Linked DNA regions of Arabidopsis thaliana. The protein of the gene in region 1 interacts with the protein of each later gene in a pairwise test. Each region holds a gene or a part of one and is shown on either strand. Other genes may lie near its edges.

Region 1 (9,098 bases):
GACACTTACACATCAAGTCATAAATTAGAAACAACAAGAACATGATTACTTATTTATTTGAGTTGGTGAGATCGGAGTTACAACACACAAGTTTCTATTGGGTATGGGGAAGAGAGAATGACAGGAAGAGCAGGGAGAGGGCTCGTTAATCTAAACCAACCATGACCCAAGTAGCCAACCTTTTTTTTTCCTCTTCAAAATTTCACATTCTTTATTCGAGATTATACTACTTATAAAGTATAATAACTAGCTCATTCAAACAAAACAAAAAGTGCTGTAAGGATAACACTATCAACGCGTGTTAAGAAAAGTAACACTTTTGAACTTCTTTTTACCATTGACAAATTTTAATAGTTACAACCATGTCATTGCTTTATTTAACAATTTTAAAAAGGAAATCTAAAATGTACATAAACCTTTAGCTAATTTACAAATATATCATATTCTTAATGCATCTACAACAACCATATTATGAACTCTAAATACTAGGATTTGTAACCGGATTCGGTTTATTTGGACTACAAAGAGTAAAAATGGACTTTGTCCATCTCATCTAGCCAATGTTTTATAAGATTCTATATTGGGTGCATCATGCATGTGTCTCTCTTGCTCACACCCTACATCTACCCATCGTTTCAGCCACAATTATGTATATATTTTTTTGTCTTCAACATTTTAGCTCATATGCACCAAATTTTCATGAAAATGTTTGTTTATCAATCATATTCATCATGTGTTGTTAGCCATTAATTTCGATGAGATTGCAAATCTTGAAAAAAAAAATGGAATTATGTGGGGGAAAAAGTAAAGAATGGCACATGAAGAGAGTTTTGCGTAATTCCCAAAAGTAAAGCCAGAAAGATTTTTCTCCCACCCCATGTGCTTACTCTCCCCAGTCCCCACTTTTTCTTAATTAAATTCATATTTCTTCCATTTTTATTTTTCGGCTTTTAATTTCTTAGCATACTTTTAAAAAAAAAATATTGTCACACTTTTTAGGCCGATTTTGACTGAGTTACACAGGTCAATAATGCTCCCAATTCGGCGGACTATAGTTATTTTAGTGGACATTTGTGTTAACTAATTTTGTGGCAAAAAGAAACTCGGAACAAATTAAACCATAACTGATTTAGACTAAATTATATAATGTAATGGCCATTATGTATTAACTAAAGACAAAAGTAATACTACGATCTACGATAATACAAAAAAAAAATTCAGAATATCGCGTCATTATCAACTTGACACCAACTTGTGAGTCTCCCAAACTCAATGATTATGTGGTCATTATCGGTGGTGTTTTTAAAAAATACTATGAAAACTCGCTCTCACTAATATCAAGTGGCTTACACACTTGATTGACTAATCAATAGTTTATCACTACTACTATAATGTTTCAGGCTAGATTTTCCATCACGTGCCAAAAAATTCCTTCAAACAATTTAGCAAGCTAACCATCAAATTTAATTACGAATTTTTTTCTTTCATATCCACGTGGCGGATATTCAAACTTAATTATGTGTAACATATGAATGACGTAAATAATCTATGCACATCTCGTTTTACTGTTGTGTGTTGCTTTAAAGGCTATCATGGATAACGTGTGTATATGACCTTCGAGAAAATTTTGAAGAGATCCATTCAACAAAACATGCATGACATTTTGAATATATCCCAATTATTAAAGACTCAATAATTTTCAGAAGTATATTTTGGGTATAAACAGGTAACCGTACGTGTTGCTACACTTGCTATTGTCCATCTATAATGTGAAAAATATCAATTTAAACATTACTGTTTTTATGTAGTTTTTAGTTCATGTAGTATTTGATTATCTGGAGAAGAAGAAAAAAAGATGATAAATAAAAAAATTGTCGGCAATAGAAAACTGAGTTTAGGTCAAAATAGTTATGTACTATAGTTATTACCGACGTAAACACTGATAAATTGAAAACGATGCATCACTGGTTTTTGACAAAATGTCGAATTAGAACAAACATGACTCAGTGTATTAGAAAGTCAAAATATACACATTTCCTCTTGAATAGTAGTATTAGCTTGATAACTTTGTTTATCTTAATGAAATCGTATTAAAGAAGTTTAGTGCCGAGATTAAATCTCGAGTCCTATCACTCTATCAGGCACTAGAATATATAATGTCCCACTAAATTCGATAACAAATTATCTTTAAAGTTAAAGTATCTTTATAATTGTTTTTATATATGGATCACGGGACTACAAGAAAAAAAGTAGACGTGACAATTATCTTTTCTGTGTTTTTTTCTCGTTATCTCTAGTTTTGTTTGATGCGTATGTATATAATTTGGACAATACTATAATAAAGTATGCTTAATAAGATTCTCCAATCGTTTTTATATTATTCTTAATATAAAATCAAAAGAGATTGATGATTTCAAATGATGCCTACAAAGAATAACATCCGTGTCGTTAATAGAATTCACAAGGAATTTATATATTCTAATGTACATTCGACTTGAAATCAAAATCATATGGACATTAAACAAAAAAAAAAAAACTAGAAAAGGATTAAAAAGAGTAAAGTAAAATTTTGATGGTTCGAAATTAGACCAAAGCGTATGAAACATCATCTTTTGAGTACCATATATTTTGCAACTTCAACTAATTAAGAGTGTAGTATAAGCTGGGAGTTTTGGAACTCAAACATCATAATCCATTCCATCATCTCTAAACTTGGGAAAAAATCCCACAGCTACCGTATTATATTTGGGAAATCGTATAAACCAAAATAAGAAAGTTGTTAATTTTTTTTAACTATAATTAACCCGACACTTAGAAATGTGTATCAAAAAAGTAATGCAAGAATTATCATTGACAAGTTTCAACAACAGAATTATTGAAAGATTTACTTTATTTGAACAAATCTCACTATTAACTTTGTTTTTGTCAAGCCTCTAGAGATAGGTTAAAACTTTAACAAACTTTACTTAACAAGAAAAGACTATGACTTTTCAAAATGCAATAAAAATACTTTAAAGAAGAAAAGATTCCTCTCGTCTCTTCCTTTGTTCACATCACTTTCATCTTTATTTTCTTTATTAATTAATCATTTATTACTCCTCTTTCAAAAACAAACATTTTTTATTTATAAAAAATTCATACGGCGCTAATTTCACCACCGCTCTTCCTAATTGATTCTTCAAAATCCATGATTACTATTGACCCCCAAACAAAAATAATATAAATCTGATACTATTTGGTTAGCTTTAAGCATATAATTCTCATCTATAACTCCAATCACCAAATCAAGAACCGCCTTTAGTTAATAAATTGTTCATTAATTTTGCTAACAACAATATTTGTCCACATTACACGTTCCATTCATAAAAAAATTGACTCCAATATTAATTGTATTTTTTTACACCTCGAGTTTTGCAGAAAAATAAATAAAAGCTCACATTTTTATTTTCTCCCTCTCTCTCTCTCTGTGTCTGTGTATGTGTGGCTTTACCTTTTGTACCTAAACCTCTCACACTCTCTCTCTCTGGCTTGCTGTTTACTCTCATCGTCTCCTTTACTTCATTCGTCTTCTTCCTCTCTTTCCCACAAGCTCCCATTGATGTGAGTTTCTTATCACTTTTCTTTTTCCGATTTGTCAATTCCTTTTTTGCACTGATTTGTGCTTCGCTTACACATTGCTAGTAGATTCCCCGATCTGGGTTTTTTCTTATTCGTGTTCATCATACTAAAGTTTGGTGCTTTTTTGTGTTTGTGTAGATAGAGAGAGAGATTTAAGGAAGGAATCATGGCAGGGGGTGGAGCTCCAGCACCCAAAGCAGACGAACCACAACCACATCCTCCTAAAGATCAACTTCCCAACATTTCTTATTGCATCACCAGTCCTCCTCCTTGGCGTGAGACCTTCTTCCTACTTGTTTTCTGATTCTAAGTTTTGAAATTAAAGCTCTTTGATTTTTATTTCGAGGTTTTTCCGGCTTTATCTGTCGGTGGTGTGTGTAGATGTTAGGTTTTTTTCTCTTTATTCGGCTTTGTTCTTCTTAACAATGTCTCGACCTGAGATTTACTCTTGTTTTACTCGTTTAGACCTTTATTTTTAGTAAGATTTGTATTCCCAGTTTGCTTTTAAGCTGGAGATTTTCTTTCCTAATTTGTTGCATCTGTGGCAAATTTGTGGTTTTCTTCTGTTGTTAACTAATCTCTGGGTGGGATGCTTGTGAACCGAATATAAGCTTTGTTTGATGTACCAGTTTTTTACAATGTCGGAAACCATTATCTCTTACATATGTTCAATCACATTAGTCTGTGCTTCTATCTTCTTTTGAAACATACAATTTTTGGTGTTTGCAATGAGTTCCTTTGGAATTCTGCAGTTTTTCATAAAGACTTACATTTTTCATGCTTGTGTTTCAGCTGAAGCTATTCTTCTTGGATTCCAACATTACCTTGTGATGCTTGGGACAACGGTGCTCATACCTACTGCTCTTGTTCCCCAGATGGGAGGTGGATATGTAAGGCCTCAACGATTTAACTTGTAGTAAAGAGGAAGATGAATCAAATGATGTCAGTGACTGAAAATGATTTTGATTTTCTATTGTTCTAATTTCAGGAAGAGAAGGCAAAGGTGATCCAGACTATTCTCTTTGTTGCTGGCATCAACACATTGCTCCAAACACTGTTCGGTACTAGATTGCCTGCTGTTGTTGGAGCTTCCTACACATTCGTGCCAACAACGATATCCATAATCCTCTCTGGCAGATTCAGTGATACCTCGAACCCTATAGATGTATGATTACTTCCTGCTTTATCATTGTGAAATGGGAATTTTTTCTTTCTTTGATTTCATCTCTATGGCCCTTACTTGGTGCTATTATGACAACAAAGAATATGTTTAAATTGCTTTGTTTAGCGCTTTGAGAGGATAATGCGGGCAACCCAAGGCGCCTTGATTGTTGCTTCTACCCTGCAGATGATTCTTGGTTTCAGTGGTCTCTGGCGTAATGTTGTTAGGTTAGTCTCGAGGAAAAAATGGTCTCAGACATTCGATTTGCTTACACAGCAATAGATTTCTCAGACATGTCTTCAGAATTACAATGACGATGTGGTGATGTAATTTCTTTTGTATTTCATTTTCAGGTTCTTAAGTCCTATTTCAGCTGTTCCACTGGTGGGTCTCGTTGGTTTTGGGCTGTATGAGTTTGGTTTCCCGGGGGTAAGTCTACTCTATATGAGCACTTACGAGCAGACCAGAAACTCTTATTTCTTTTAGTTGTTGATATCCTTTTTACATTTTAGGTTGCTAAATGCATAGAGATTGGACTGCCTGAGCTTCTTATTCTAGTATTCGTTTCACAGGTAATCTTTTTAACTTACTTACAGATTAATCCTGTCTAACTCCCAAAATCTTTTTTTTTTTTTTAACTTACCTGATTTCATGTGTTCATGTTTCCTGTTACAGTACCTGCCTCATGTGATCAAATCAGGGAAAAATGTGTTTGACCGATTTGCTGTGATATTCGCGGTGGTGATTGTGTGGATCTATGCTCATCTTCTTACAGTTGGTGGGGCCTACAATGGTGCTGCACCAACTACTCAAACAAGTTGCCGGACAGATCGTGCTGGAATCATAGGTGCTGCCCCATGGTAAGTGGTTACAACAAAGCTCAAAATATGTAGCTCCCAAAATACCATTTCCACTAAAAATTTCCAGTTTAAACAGAACAAAAGAACATGAACGAATAGAGTATCAGAAGATAAATGTGATCTCATTGGATTCGTTGTTAACATTAGTTTCTTTGTACTTAGGATAAGAGTTCCATGGCCTTTCCAGTGGGGTGCCCCATCGTTTGATGCTGGAGAAGCTTTTGCAATGATGATGGCTTCTTTTGTTGCTCTAGTTGAGGTCTGTGGTTATCTTCTTCACATTTTAATCTTTCAAAATATAATGATTATGCTCTGTTGTTCTGTTTATTCATTTTGGTTTCTTGTTTATTCTGTGTCTGGCTGATCTTTAAAGTCAACCGGTGCTTTTGTCGCGGTGTCAAGATACGCAAGTGCAACGATGTTGCCACCTTCTATTCTCAGCCGCGGTATTGGCTGGCAGGTAACTCAGCTATACTTGAAGTTATAATGTTGCTGAATCGATATTGAAAGAATTCTGAGGTGATTATGTTTTGTTTTGTGAATCAGGGAGTTGCGATTCTGATATCAGGATTGTTTGGTACTGGTGCTGGTTCCTCTGTCTCTGTGTAAGCATCTCTGAGATTTACATGTTCTGATTTGATTACTTTCTCTGGATATTTTGGTATGAAAGTTGATTTTTCTCTCTTTTGTGCAGAGAAAATGCCGGACTATTGGCCTTGACACGAGTTGGTAGTCGAAGGGTTGTCCAGATAGCTGCAGGCTTCATGATATTCTTCTCTATTCTCGGTTAGTTTTGTTCTATTCTGTTTTTAACAAATAAAAGGAATTACTTTTGTTTGAAATTTTATCTGTACTGATGAGATCCATCCTGTTAATGCAGGAAAATTTGGAGCTGTGTTTGCTTCAATTCCTGCGCCCATCATTGCTGCTTTATACTGTCTCTTCTTCGCATACGTGGGAGCTGGAGGTTTGAGTTTCCTTCAATTCTGCAACTTAAACAGCTTCAGGACCAAGTTCATCTTAGGTTTCTCTGTCTTCCTGGGCTTGTCCATCCCTCAATACTTCAATGAGTACACCGCAATCAAAGGATATGGTCCGGTCCACACTGGGGCTCGTTGGGTATGTAGAACCAAGTCACTGTTATTTTTGCTTCTCTTTCCATTGAAATAGGTTTATGGTAGAATGATCTATTAAGGTCCCTAAAACTCCATAGCAAAGATTCGAGTTTAGCATGGCCTGAACTAATGAAACAATCTTATTCTCTTACATATTTGACAGTTCAACGATATGGTAAATGTCCCGTTCTCCTCAGAGCCTTTTGTTGCTGGAAGCGTCGCCTTCTTCTTGGACAACACACTGCACAAGAAAGACTCTTCGATAAGGAAAGACAGAGGGAAGCATTGGTGGGACAAGTTTAGATCTTTCAAAGGTGACACAAGAAGTGAAGAATTCTACTCTCTACCTTTCAATCTCAACAAGTACTTCCCATCTGTCTAAAAGGGAAGAGAAGAGCAAAAAAGATAACTGGAAAACAAAGAAAATGGTGAAAACTCGAGTTTCGCCATTGTTGACTTGGCCTCTGTGTCGTGGTTCGTTTGTTCAGTTCCTTTCACAACTTTGGAAACTTTAAATATCTCATCACATTCTATAGTCTTATTTACAAGAATGATGAATCTTCTTAAAGAGCATTGTTGTTTACTCTCTCTCTAATGCTTTTGTCTTTGTAAATCCGAGGGAACAGAAACACTACTTTGTGATTTTGATTAGTTTCTAAACAAATCTTTAGCTTAATTTTTCTTTTTATATGTTTCTCACTCCAAAGTCTTGATTTAGAAGCTTAGGAAACCTGATTGGTTGAACTTTAACGAGAATTGACATATAACATTTAATTTCAATAGATAATTACAATTAATTAGTTGTTTTTTCTTATTAATTTGGTCATATGTGTAGAGAAAAAAAAGGGAAAAATGGTCATATAAAATAGAGCGACCTTTCACTCTTGCGTGAGGTTTTTGTTCTCTGATCAATAAAATAGTATAGAGAGACATTAATAAGGCAACTTTTGTATGTTATCATCTAAATTAATGGACACGCAAAAGTTAAGATTACTTTGTTTTGTAAGGCAGATCGATTTAATTCCGTAATTAAGTAAGTTTGTTGAATAATTAACGATTAATACGACACAGGCTTTCAGGAGATCGAGATAAAGTGTACAGTAAGCATGTGAATAAGGTTGATTGCACGAGGGGAATATTATTCTTACTTCATTTTTGGTTGTCATTTTCCTTATTTTAATTTCCACAAAAAGCTCATCATTGCTTAAGAAAAATATGATTTATAAAGTTGCTTTTTATTTAGTTGACAAAAAAAAAATTTGTTTGTTTATTATTCTGCAACTATTGATCTTTACGTATTGAATTGAAAATTTGAATGTTTAAATTATATAACTACAAATGTGTTTTTGATCATTTTTATATTATAAATTATAAACAGCTGCTACATTCTATAATTTGTTAGTTGTAGTATTTACTTAAAACAATACAACTATACTAGGAGAAAAATGAACACAGAACATAAAGTAGGAAATTGGATGAAAGTATTATCTAAATTGTGGTCCAATAGTTTGTGGATACTTTAACTTTAGATGTATGAAGACTATAGACTTTTCCTAGAGATTTATATATAGGTGGTGTATATATACACTGATTTACACATATTAAGTTATGTGTATATCTAAAAAAGATAGTGACTAATTTCTGAAGTAGAGATTTACTATGAATTTCTTCAGAGGTTGAACCTAAGCTAAATGATATAGCATGAACAAGAATTTAAATGTTAATAAATAGATTCGTAGTATCAAAGGCTTAAAGATTTAACTATTATTTTTGCTTGGAATCTACTTTTCGTGAAAGATTCCAGCCAAGCAAACACTTGGGGCTCTGTACGGACACTCTAAAACATAATAATCATTTAAGCAATTACGATCATTATTCTATCTCTTCTTTCTTGTTTGTTTGTTAAATGTTAAACCATTTATCGAATAATGGAGATACATATATAAATAAAACCTCTTCCACACCACTTTTTTTTTTTCCATAGAAACGAAAAATAGTTGATGATGACAAAATGAAATAATAACATGAAAACTTATACTTATAGTTATTGTATAGAAATAAAATGATGAGTATATATAATGAGTAGAGAAACTATTAAATCAGTATAGACCCCTCACCTACGCTTTACTCTTTCACTCCTCTCTCTCCTGCTTTGCTCCGCCGTGAGAGGAGAAACAAATGGGGAATTGTCAAGCGGCGGAGGCGGCAACGACGGTGATACAACAACCAGACGGTAAATCGGTTAGATTTTACTGTACAGTAAACGCGAGCGAAGTGATTAAGTCCCATCCCGGTCACCACGTGGCTCTCCTCCTCTCTTCCGCCGTACCTCACGGTGGCTCT
Region 2 (7,757 bases), on another chromosome or scaffold:
TCTATTCAACCTCTCCTACATTCATCAGTAAAACCAAAACACCATCTTGAATATCTAGTACTCAAACCCAAGCGCTGTTGTCATGTAATAGAGAATCCAGGAGACAACAAACTAAACTATCTTCATAATAACACATTTGAAAAACAAAAGTTTCAGACCAATCACTAATCATCCATCAACCTCTAATAGAACAAGAAAAAGACTTTAAGACTTCAATCACCAATTTTCCAACGTTCATGGGCATTTGTAAATTTTGCTGTATCAATCTCAAATTGTAACTGGAAATAAAGTTGAGAAATAGACTCACTTGGAACACCGACATCTCATTATCAAAGTAGTTCTGTGCATTTGTGATAGGAACACTGCAACTCTCTGCACATCGACTAATCTCAGCGTGTGTTCTTGTCCTATCAAAGCACTCGTATGCACATTTGAAATATGCCTTCTGCATCAACACAAAAGCACAAAAATAACTAACTCTTATATAAATCTCAAACTACGCAGTAAGCAAACTAAGTCCAAGTACATATCCAATGGCTTCTTCGAAGAGTATACACAGAGAACATAACTTTAGGAATTTAGCAACTAGGAGAAAGAAAACTGAGTCTAGGGAGCTGTGAAAAATCCACTTTGTTTCTTCAATTTTAGAAAGAAGACATCAAAATTTTCAAAAACTTTTTTTTTTGTTTGAGAGAGAGAGAGAGAAAGAGACGAACTTGAAGGGTGAAATTGATGTGGTCTTGTACTGGAGAAAGAAGAGACTGCGACGCAGAACTGACTTCGTTAACTTTCTTTCTAATCCTCTCTCTCACCATCTTCTCCTCCGCCGTTTGATCCATTTTTTCCCGGCGAGTTGATTTATTAGTTCAACTTTGCTCTCACAATGATTCACTCGAAAAAGTTTGGAATCTTTACTTGCAAAAAAATTAGACAAAAAAAGACTGAAAAAGAGAACATTTTTTTACTCCTTCCCCAAGTTCTCATAGGTAGCTTCAACCGCCTCCCATCTCTGAAACACTACCTTATTTGGGCCTAGCCTCTTTTAAATTGGGCCCATTTACGAACATTATCATCTCCTTTAGTCTGGCTCAAGCATGAAGTTACCTCAACAGCCGTCTCTGTTTCTTCTTTCAAAATCTATCAACTTCTCACTTTTTTTTTGTCAAGGGTTTCATTATTATTGACTTTACATTAATTTATAGAGATAAGCATTAAGCATGATCGTCAAACATTGACCAATTAGTTAAATGTAAACTGACATTGAAGATATTCAATTATTCATCATGATCATCCATCAAAATTGCTAAAAAGCCACATGAGTTGTTTGTCGAGAAACAGGGGAAAAAACAGAGAGACAAAACAAAACTAACCTGAACTTAAACAAAACTCCACAGAGAAGAGGAAGACTGAGTACAGACCATACTTAAACTGTTTTAACTACTACAAGTGTGCTAACGGACCAAAGACCAAACATATAGTGACTGGGAAAAACAAAGCTACTAAATCACTGCATCTCAACTTTGTAACTAGACCCACCAACATTATCAGAAAACCATAGTAATCTACACCAATTTTAAGAGCAGACAGATGAAATGAGGAACCGGGAGGATAGGTTTTTGTTTTTGTCTTTGTCCTTTTAGAGCTGCACTTCTCTGTCGTGTATCCAACTGAAAGGAATCTTGGGTCCTTTCTTGGCTCTTGCTTGAGCTCTCTCATCCAATCTCTTGATCCTTGGAGCCAACCCGCATAAATAGTCTTGTGCTTTGTTTCCTTCACCTGAAAGCCCGGTTAAGTCCTGGATTTTCCACCTACCAACCAGAAACTCAAGAATGTCTGCATAGTCTTTGGCGGTGTAAACACCGAGCCTCTGAGCCACGGAAGAGAAGTTGTCAAAGAGGTTGTCGTTGCGCCCATCATACATCAAGTGAGCAGGCATTGAGATTTTCTTTCTCATCATGTCTGCAAAAGCCATGACAGTACCATCAGGATCAATCTCAAAGAGCTTTTCAACTATCTTGGTGTATGCTGTTTCATGACGCTTCTCGTCTGCAGCTATTGTGCCACATATTTGGGCTAGTTTGATGTCCCCGTGCTCTTTGGCTTGGCGGGCTGTGTTTCCGTGAGAGATGAATGTCGCTCTTTCTTGGAATGACGTATAGATGAAGCCAAGGTAGGGGTTATTCTCTGTCCGCGGATCCTATGAAAGATAAGTTAAAGCGATTAGGTAGTTATATTAACCAAGAAATCATGATAATTGCCTGAAACTATCTCACCATTCCAGATCCAATCAAGTACTGAATGGTCTTTTCGATCTGCCTCATGTCAACACGACCAGACAAGTAAAGGTATTTATTCAGAAGATCGCCATGTCGGTTTTCTTCTGCAGTCCAAGCTCTGGTCCAAATAGCCCATGAAGTAGGACTAGCACCTGTTTCATCCCTAACTCCATCCAAAGTGTTCAACATAGTTTGATAGGTCGGAAGTGCTTCTTCTGTGATCATGTCCCCCACCAAAACAACAAAGTAATCATCAGGGAGCTCTCTAGCCCTCTCTCTTAACTCTCTTACCTGATCTTCAAACCCATCTGATGCAGGGTCAGGCAAGAAATCCTGGGGTTGCCAAGACTTCTCCACATCCTTGAGGTGAATCAGAAGGTTCTCCTCGGCCCAGTTTTCCATAGATTTGAAGATCTCGATCTTTTGAGGTGGCATGGAGTGCAAGACTTGAACATGCACTTCCCTGGGTGGCGTAAATGGTTTCTTCAAACTCTCAACCTCCCTGCATTAACCAGAAAATAAGTATCATTAGCATTTAATTATGCTCCATTGAAATTACCAGTCAAGGTCTCATCTCTGATACACAACTGAAACAAGAACACAGTTTATTGTATTTAGATAAGCATTCATGTCTACATTTCCAAATCAACTAATTCTATGTTTGAAGCGAAACAATTTCACAATTCATGACTAGCAAACACTTAGAGATGGTTAACCGTAAGACAATATTTTATATTTGCATTCATGGATTGGTCTTGCAGTTCAATATGAAGCAAAAAAGAAAGATTGTGAAAGAAACAAATGTAGTGACTACTGATCAGACAAAGACAAGATAAAGAGCCAAATGTCTTCAAAACAGAGAAAGAATGAATAATAAATTACAGAAAAGTGTGAAAATTTTGGACGCAAACTAAAGAGAGAAGCCACGAAGTACGCATGCATAGAGAAAGGCCACGAAGCGTGATATCCAACGTAATGTCTTTGAAGAAAGATAAACAGACGTAAACTGATACGTTCAAGAATCTCTTGTCAATACAAAAGAGAAAACTCATCAAATGAGTAAGAAACAAGTGGATAAACATTTCACCATTAAAAATTACTAAACCAGAGAAAACAAAACAAAACTTTCTCTTTGACTAAGAAGCTTTCCTCAATGTCTGTTAAGTCTTAACCAATCTAAAGATCATTATACCATAAAGAAGATAACTAGTGTTAATCTTAACTAACAACCAATCAACGAGCAATCTACATAATCTGATGCAGAATAAATATGGTAAAGGCAACGATTTGATAGATGGGGCAATCTCAGAGAAACGTGAGAATAATAGGGAACAATCAACAAACATCAGATTCAATGAAAAAGAGCATTAATGAATCACCTGAGAACAGAGGATGGCCCATTCTTATAAACCCAGATTAAAAGAACGTACTTTTATTGAAATCACACTCGAGATTAAGCAAATGTAAGCAAATAACACTGAACAAAATCGAGAAAACGTAGATCCAATATCGATAAGAACAAGCAAAACCCAGAACACAGTAAACAAAGATGAAACAGAGAGAATCGAAAGTAGATAAGAGAGACGATGATGGAGAGAAAGAGACTGACTTGGGGCCGGAGCTGAGAGCCGGAGAAGAAGAAGCGAGGCAGAGGAACTTGGGAGATCTGAAAGAAGGAGTTGGCGGACGAGTCGAGGAAGGGAATTTGTAAGGCTGAGATGCCACCAAAGGGTTAAACTTTAGAGCCATTTCTGGATATGATGAATGAATCCTTCTTTTCTACAGAGCTAGAGCTCTCCCTCAATCTCTATCTCTCGGTCTGAGTTTGGTTCTTCTGGCTTTTTCTCTCAGGTTTAGTTTCGTCCACAGAAAGAGAATGCTTATGCACAGCGTTGAGCGTAGCAAGCAATAAGAGAGACGAAAATAAATAATTCTTTTTTTTGTTAAAAAAATTATTCTAATAAGGAAAATGACGTCATATTGTCATTTGTGTGTGAAAAACAAGGTGACAAATTATAAAAATAAATAAATTGGGTATCTGTTCTAAAATACCCTTGAGATGCTTCAATTTTGACACTATTGTTCTTACATATGTCGGTAAAATATTTGTATCAAATAATTATTAGTCAACAATAATGATCAATGATACATCAAAACATCGAGTAGCTAAGTAGCAGTATACTAAATATTAATATAGTTGAGAAAAAGTTGCAAGAAAAAAAAGGGATACATCTTGAAAAGAATTGTTGATTAAAAATTCTTTTATTGAGTTGAATAGTAAAGTTGAAAAAATTGATTACTTTTGAGCACCTATGTCAAAGATGATTATGATTCATGCTTAGTCTCTTTCACTCATGACTTGTGCTAATTGTTAGATGACTCTCCTATATGTGTGATAATTTGGTATTAGATCTATGAAAATTGATGAGCAATGAGAAGGGGTAAAAAGGTCAAAACAAAATATAAAGTGTTTATATTAATTTATGTGAGTTTTGTAATAATCGACGTACTCGGGCGTGAGAATCCACGTAAAAGCCAAATAAGTTTGAAGCATGAAAGAGACAGAGAGGGGACAAGTGGCATAGGATCTCCACGTGGATGTCCCACTTGGCATATGAAAACTCTATAAACCGTACATTGGGTTTAATGGTTTTTTGCATTTTAGCATCATTCGATACTTTTCTGCCAAGTTTAGCTAGCTCAACGTTTTGAGTAATTTGATAGCACAACGTTTTCGGTTTTTCATTGAGACCATGACAACAAATTTAAACTTATTCTTTGTTTTCGTTCCATCACATTTAAGTGTAAACATTAATGCTTGTTTAACATCTCTTTCGGTGATTAACATTAATCAATGGAGTATATACTTCGATTAACATCTCTTTCAGTCATAAATCATAAGTGTGTGTAAACATCCCCATTGGTGTTCACCATACGTTTGTGTAAACATTAGATCTCTTAAAAATATCCAATTTATCCAATAAGTTAGCACACAGAAGAAATATGTAGACTTTTCATAGCTGAAAAACACAACAAGTACTACAACATAAAAGTAAACACAAACGCATACTTTTCAGGTCATGTGTAATTATTCCACCGCCGATATAAGTATAAACAGAAATCAAAACGATACATTCAATACAATCACCAAAATAAAGATATTTATCAAGCAAACACCGTCACATTTTTAGATTTCTCACCAAACCTCGACCATCACTTTTTACCGTCCGACGGAAGTCATCGCTTCCGTGATGGTCAAGTGTCCTTTCTGACTCCTTTGTCATCAATCGAAAACATAAAATATTTACAAACAAACATGTCATATATCATTTCACGACCGAACTCAGCATCACGTCTCAGCGTCCCCGGGAGGTAAAAGGTTCCGTTAACGTCAAGGTACCAATGGACCCTTGTGATGTCAAAACACCAAGTACACTCTCAGATGTCTCAGACCACATTCTGACCTTCTCTGCTTTGACTATATCGAGTAGATTATCTGGAAGCTGCAGATCACCACCCAAGATCTGGACCACCTTAGACATGTCTGGCCTAATTGCTACAGCCTGGTGCGAACACAACACTCCCAATTTCAAAACAAGCTCGAGCTGTTCTCTATTGTCTTCGTGACGGATTCCATCATTGACTGCCTCGAGAATATCTCCGTTTTCCCAGCACTTTAATGTCCATTCAGCTAGGACGACCTCGTCGGAGGCTGTTCTTCGCTCTATCAGCCTCCTACCGCAAGAGACTTCTAGCATAAACAGCCCGAAGGCATAGACGTCTGTCCCTGTGGTTGCTCTTCCGCTTCTTATGAGCTCCGGTGCAATGTACCAGAATGTCCCAGCAACTCTAGATGTCTGAGGATCATAACCCTGATCGTACAACTTAGCCAACCCAAAATCCCCGAGCCTTGCATTCATTTGGTGGTCAATCAGGACATTTGCCGGCTTGATGTCTCGATGAATTACAACTTGTACCCATTCATGATGCAAATAGCAGAGTGCAGAGGCTATGTCTTTGATGATCTTGAAACGTTGATTCCAAGTGAGTTGCTCTTGATTCGCTCTGTGGTAGAGGTACTTGTCAAGACTTCCATTGGGCATAAAGTCATAAACCAAGTAGAGTTCCTCCTTGTACCTACAATAACCCTGAAGCCTGACTAGGTTCTGGTGTCTAAGCCGACCAATTGTCGATATCTCAGCCAAGAATTCCTGCATTCCTTGTTTTGAATCATGTGAAATTCGTTTAACGGCAATCTCTGCATCAGAACCTGGAAGTGTACCCTTAAAGACCTGACCAAACCCTCCTTTGCCTAGAAGTTGTTTGAAACCTTTTGTGGCTTTAAAGAGTTCTTTGTAAGCAAACCTATGAGGCCCACATTGGATCTCCCATTCCTCTAGAACCTCTTTAACCTTTTTATGTCTCCTGTAGAAAAAGATACTTAAAGCTGATGCAACAAGCGCAACAAAGAGAACCAATGCCAAGCTGGTCACCAAAACAATCCGATAAACCAGAGATTTTTCCTTGGGATATGGAGGAAATGTTGGTATTCCCAAGTCCAGGTTTGGAACATCAACGCCGCCATGTACAAACCAACTCAACATGTAATGCATTGCTCTAACAGACCCCGTTGAGGCTGAGAAGCCCACATACATGTTCTCCAAAATATAGGGTGATAGATCTTGGTTCAATGAAAGAAGAGGCTTGTTCGGGTAATAAGCCTCCTCTGGTGATGATAAGGTGACATTAAGCTGTTTTTCCATCTGGCTATACAAAATCGTGACTCGGAGTAGACTTCCACTTATCAAAGAAAGATCTTTAAATTGACCTTCTTGATCATAATAACCAGCAGGAGCAAATTTGATAGACCTCATTCCGTTTATGTTGATACCAACATGGTTATCGTTAATGTCGCCAAATTCCTCATCTTTATTTATATCGAGCTCCACAGCGATGACATGATTTGAGCTATCCCCGTTGTTTGCTTTGTTAAAGATTCCAAGGTACTGATCAGCGGAGGCACCAGTAATGCCTCTTGTGGGAGAGATCACGAAGGCCATACCATGAGCGCCTTTGTGCTTATCCTCAGGGGCGATAGCAAAGAAGAACGTGACAGAGAAAGAAGTAACTGTATCGTTGGCCGAATTCTTGAAAGGGACTATCTCGTCCTCGAAGGCTTGACCATATGCGTGCTTCTTGGTGCTCGTCAACGTCCTGTAACCTTTAAAAAATCCAGCGGATCCCTGCATAACCAGTTTGCCACGGGAGTTTTCAGTACAACAGAAGAGAGCAAGGATCAAGAAAATGACCCGTGAGCCGATTGTACGAGACATGATTTTTGATCGACGGTTTTAGAAACTAAGAGCTTAGTTTCTGTTTTTGTCTTTTATATCTTTGGGAGCATGATGGAAGTCATCTAAGCCAACAAAAAAAATGCCCATGAACTAGTCAAGGCCCTACAAGGAATAAAATCAGAGAGAT

Evidence for each region.
Region 2: the proteins of AT5G62890 (region 1) and SSI2 interact in a protein complementation assay, tested with the Arabidopsis thaliana proteins (one large-scale study listed by BioGRID).

Annotation. Positions count from the first base shown.
Region 1 is NC_003076.8:25,239,939-25,249,036, forward strand, and holds AT5G62890 (Xanthine/uracil permease family protein), read left to right. Parts: upstream 1-3,209; 5' UTR 3,210-3,600; exon of another isoform or gene 3,601-3,756; 5' UTR 3,757-3,784; coding exon 3,785-3,893; intron 3,894-4,410; coding exon 4,411-4,508; intron 4,509-4,606; coding exon 4,607-4,783; intron 4,784-4,906; coding exon 4,907-5,007; intron 5,008-5,133; coding exon 5,134-5,209; intron 5,210-5,292; coding exon 5,293-5,352; intron 5,353-5,455; coding exon 5,456-5,640; intron 5,641-5,802; coding exon 5,803-5,899; intron 5,900-6,013; coding exon 6,014-6,100; intron 6,101-6,186; coding exon 6,187-6,245; intron 6,246-6,334; coding exon 6,335-6,426; intron 6,427-6,520; coding exon 6,521-6,759; coding exon of another isoform or gene 6,760-6,810; exon of another isoform or gene 6,811-6,918; coding exon 6,919-7,137; 3' UTR 7,138-7,439; downstream 7,440-9,098. Other genes in the region: AT5G62900 (basic-leucine zipper transcription factor K), read left to right, coding at 8,934-9,098.
Region 2 is NC_003071.7:18,116,375-18,124,131, reverse strand, and holds SSI2 (Plant stearoyl-acyl-carrier-protein desaturase family protein), read right to left. Parts: upstream 4,260-7,757; 5' UTR 4,026-4,259; coding exon 3,886-4,025; coding exon of another isoform or gene 3,882-3,885; intron 2,779-3,881; coding exon 2,274-2,778; intron 2,198-2,273; coding exon 1,637-2,197; 3' UTR 1,243-1,636; downstream 1-1,242. Other genes in the region: AT2G43720 (FAM136A-like protein (DUF842)), read right to left, coding at 1-15, 308-445, 717-839; AT2G43700 (Concanavalin A-like lectin protein kinase family protein), read right to left, coding at 5,633-7,609.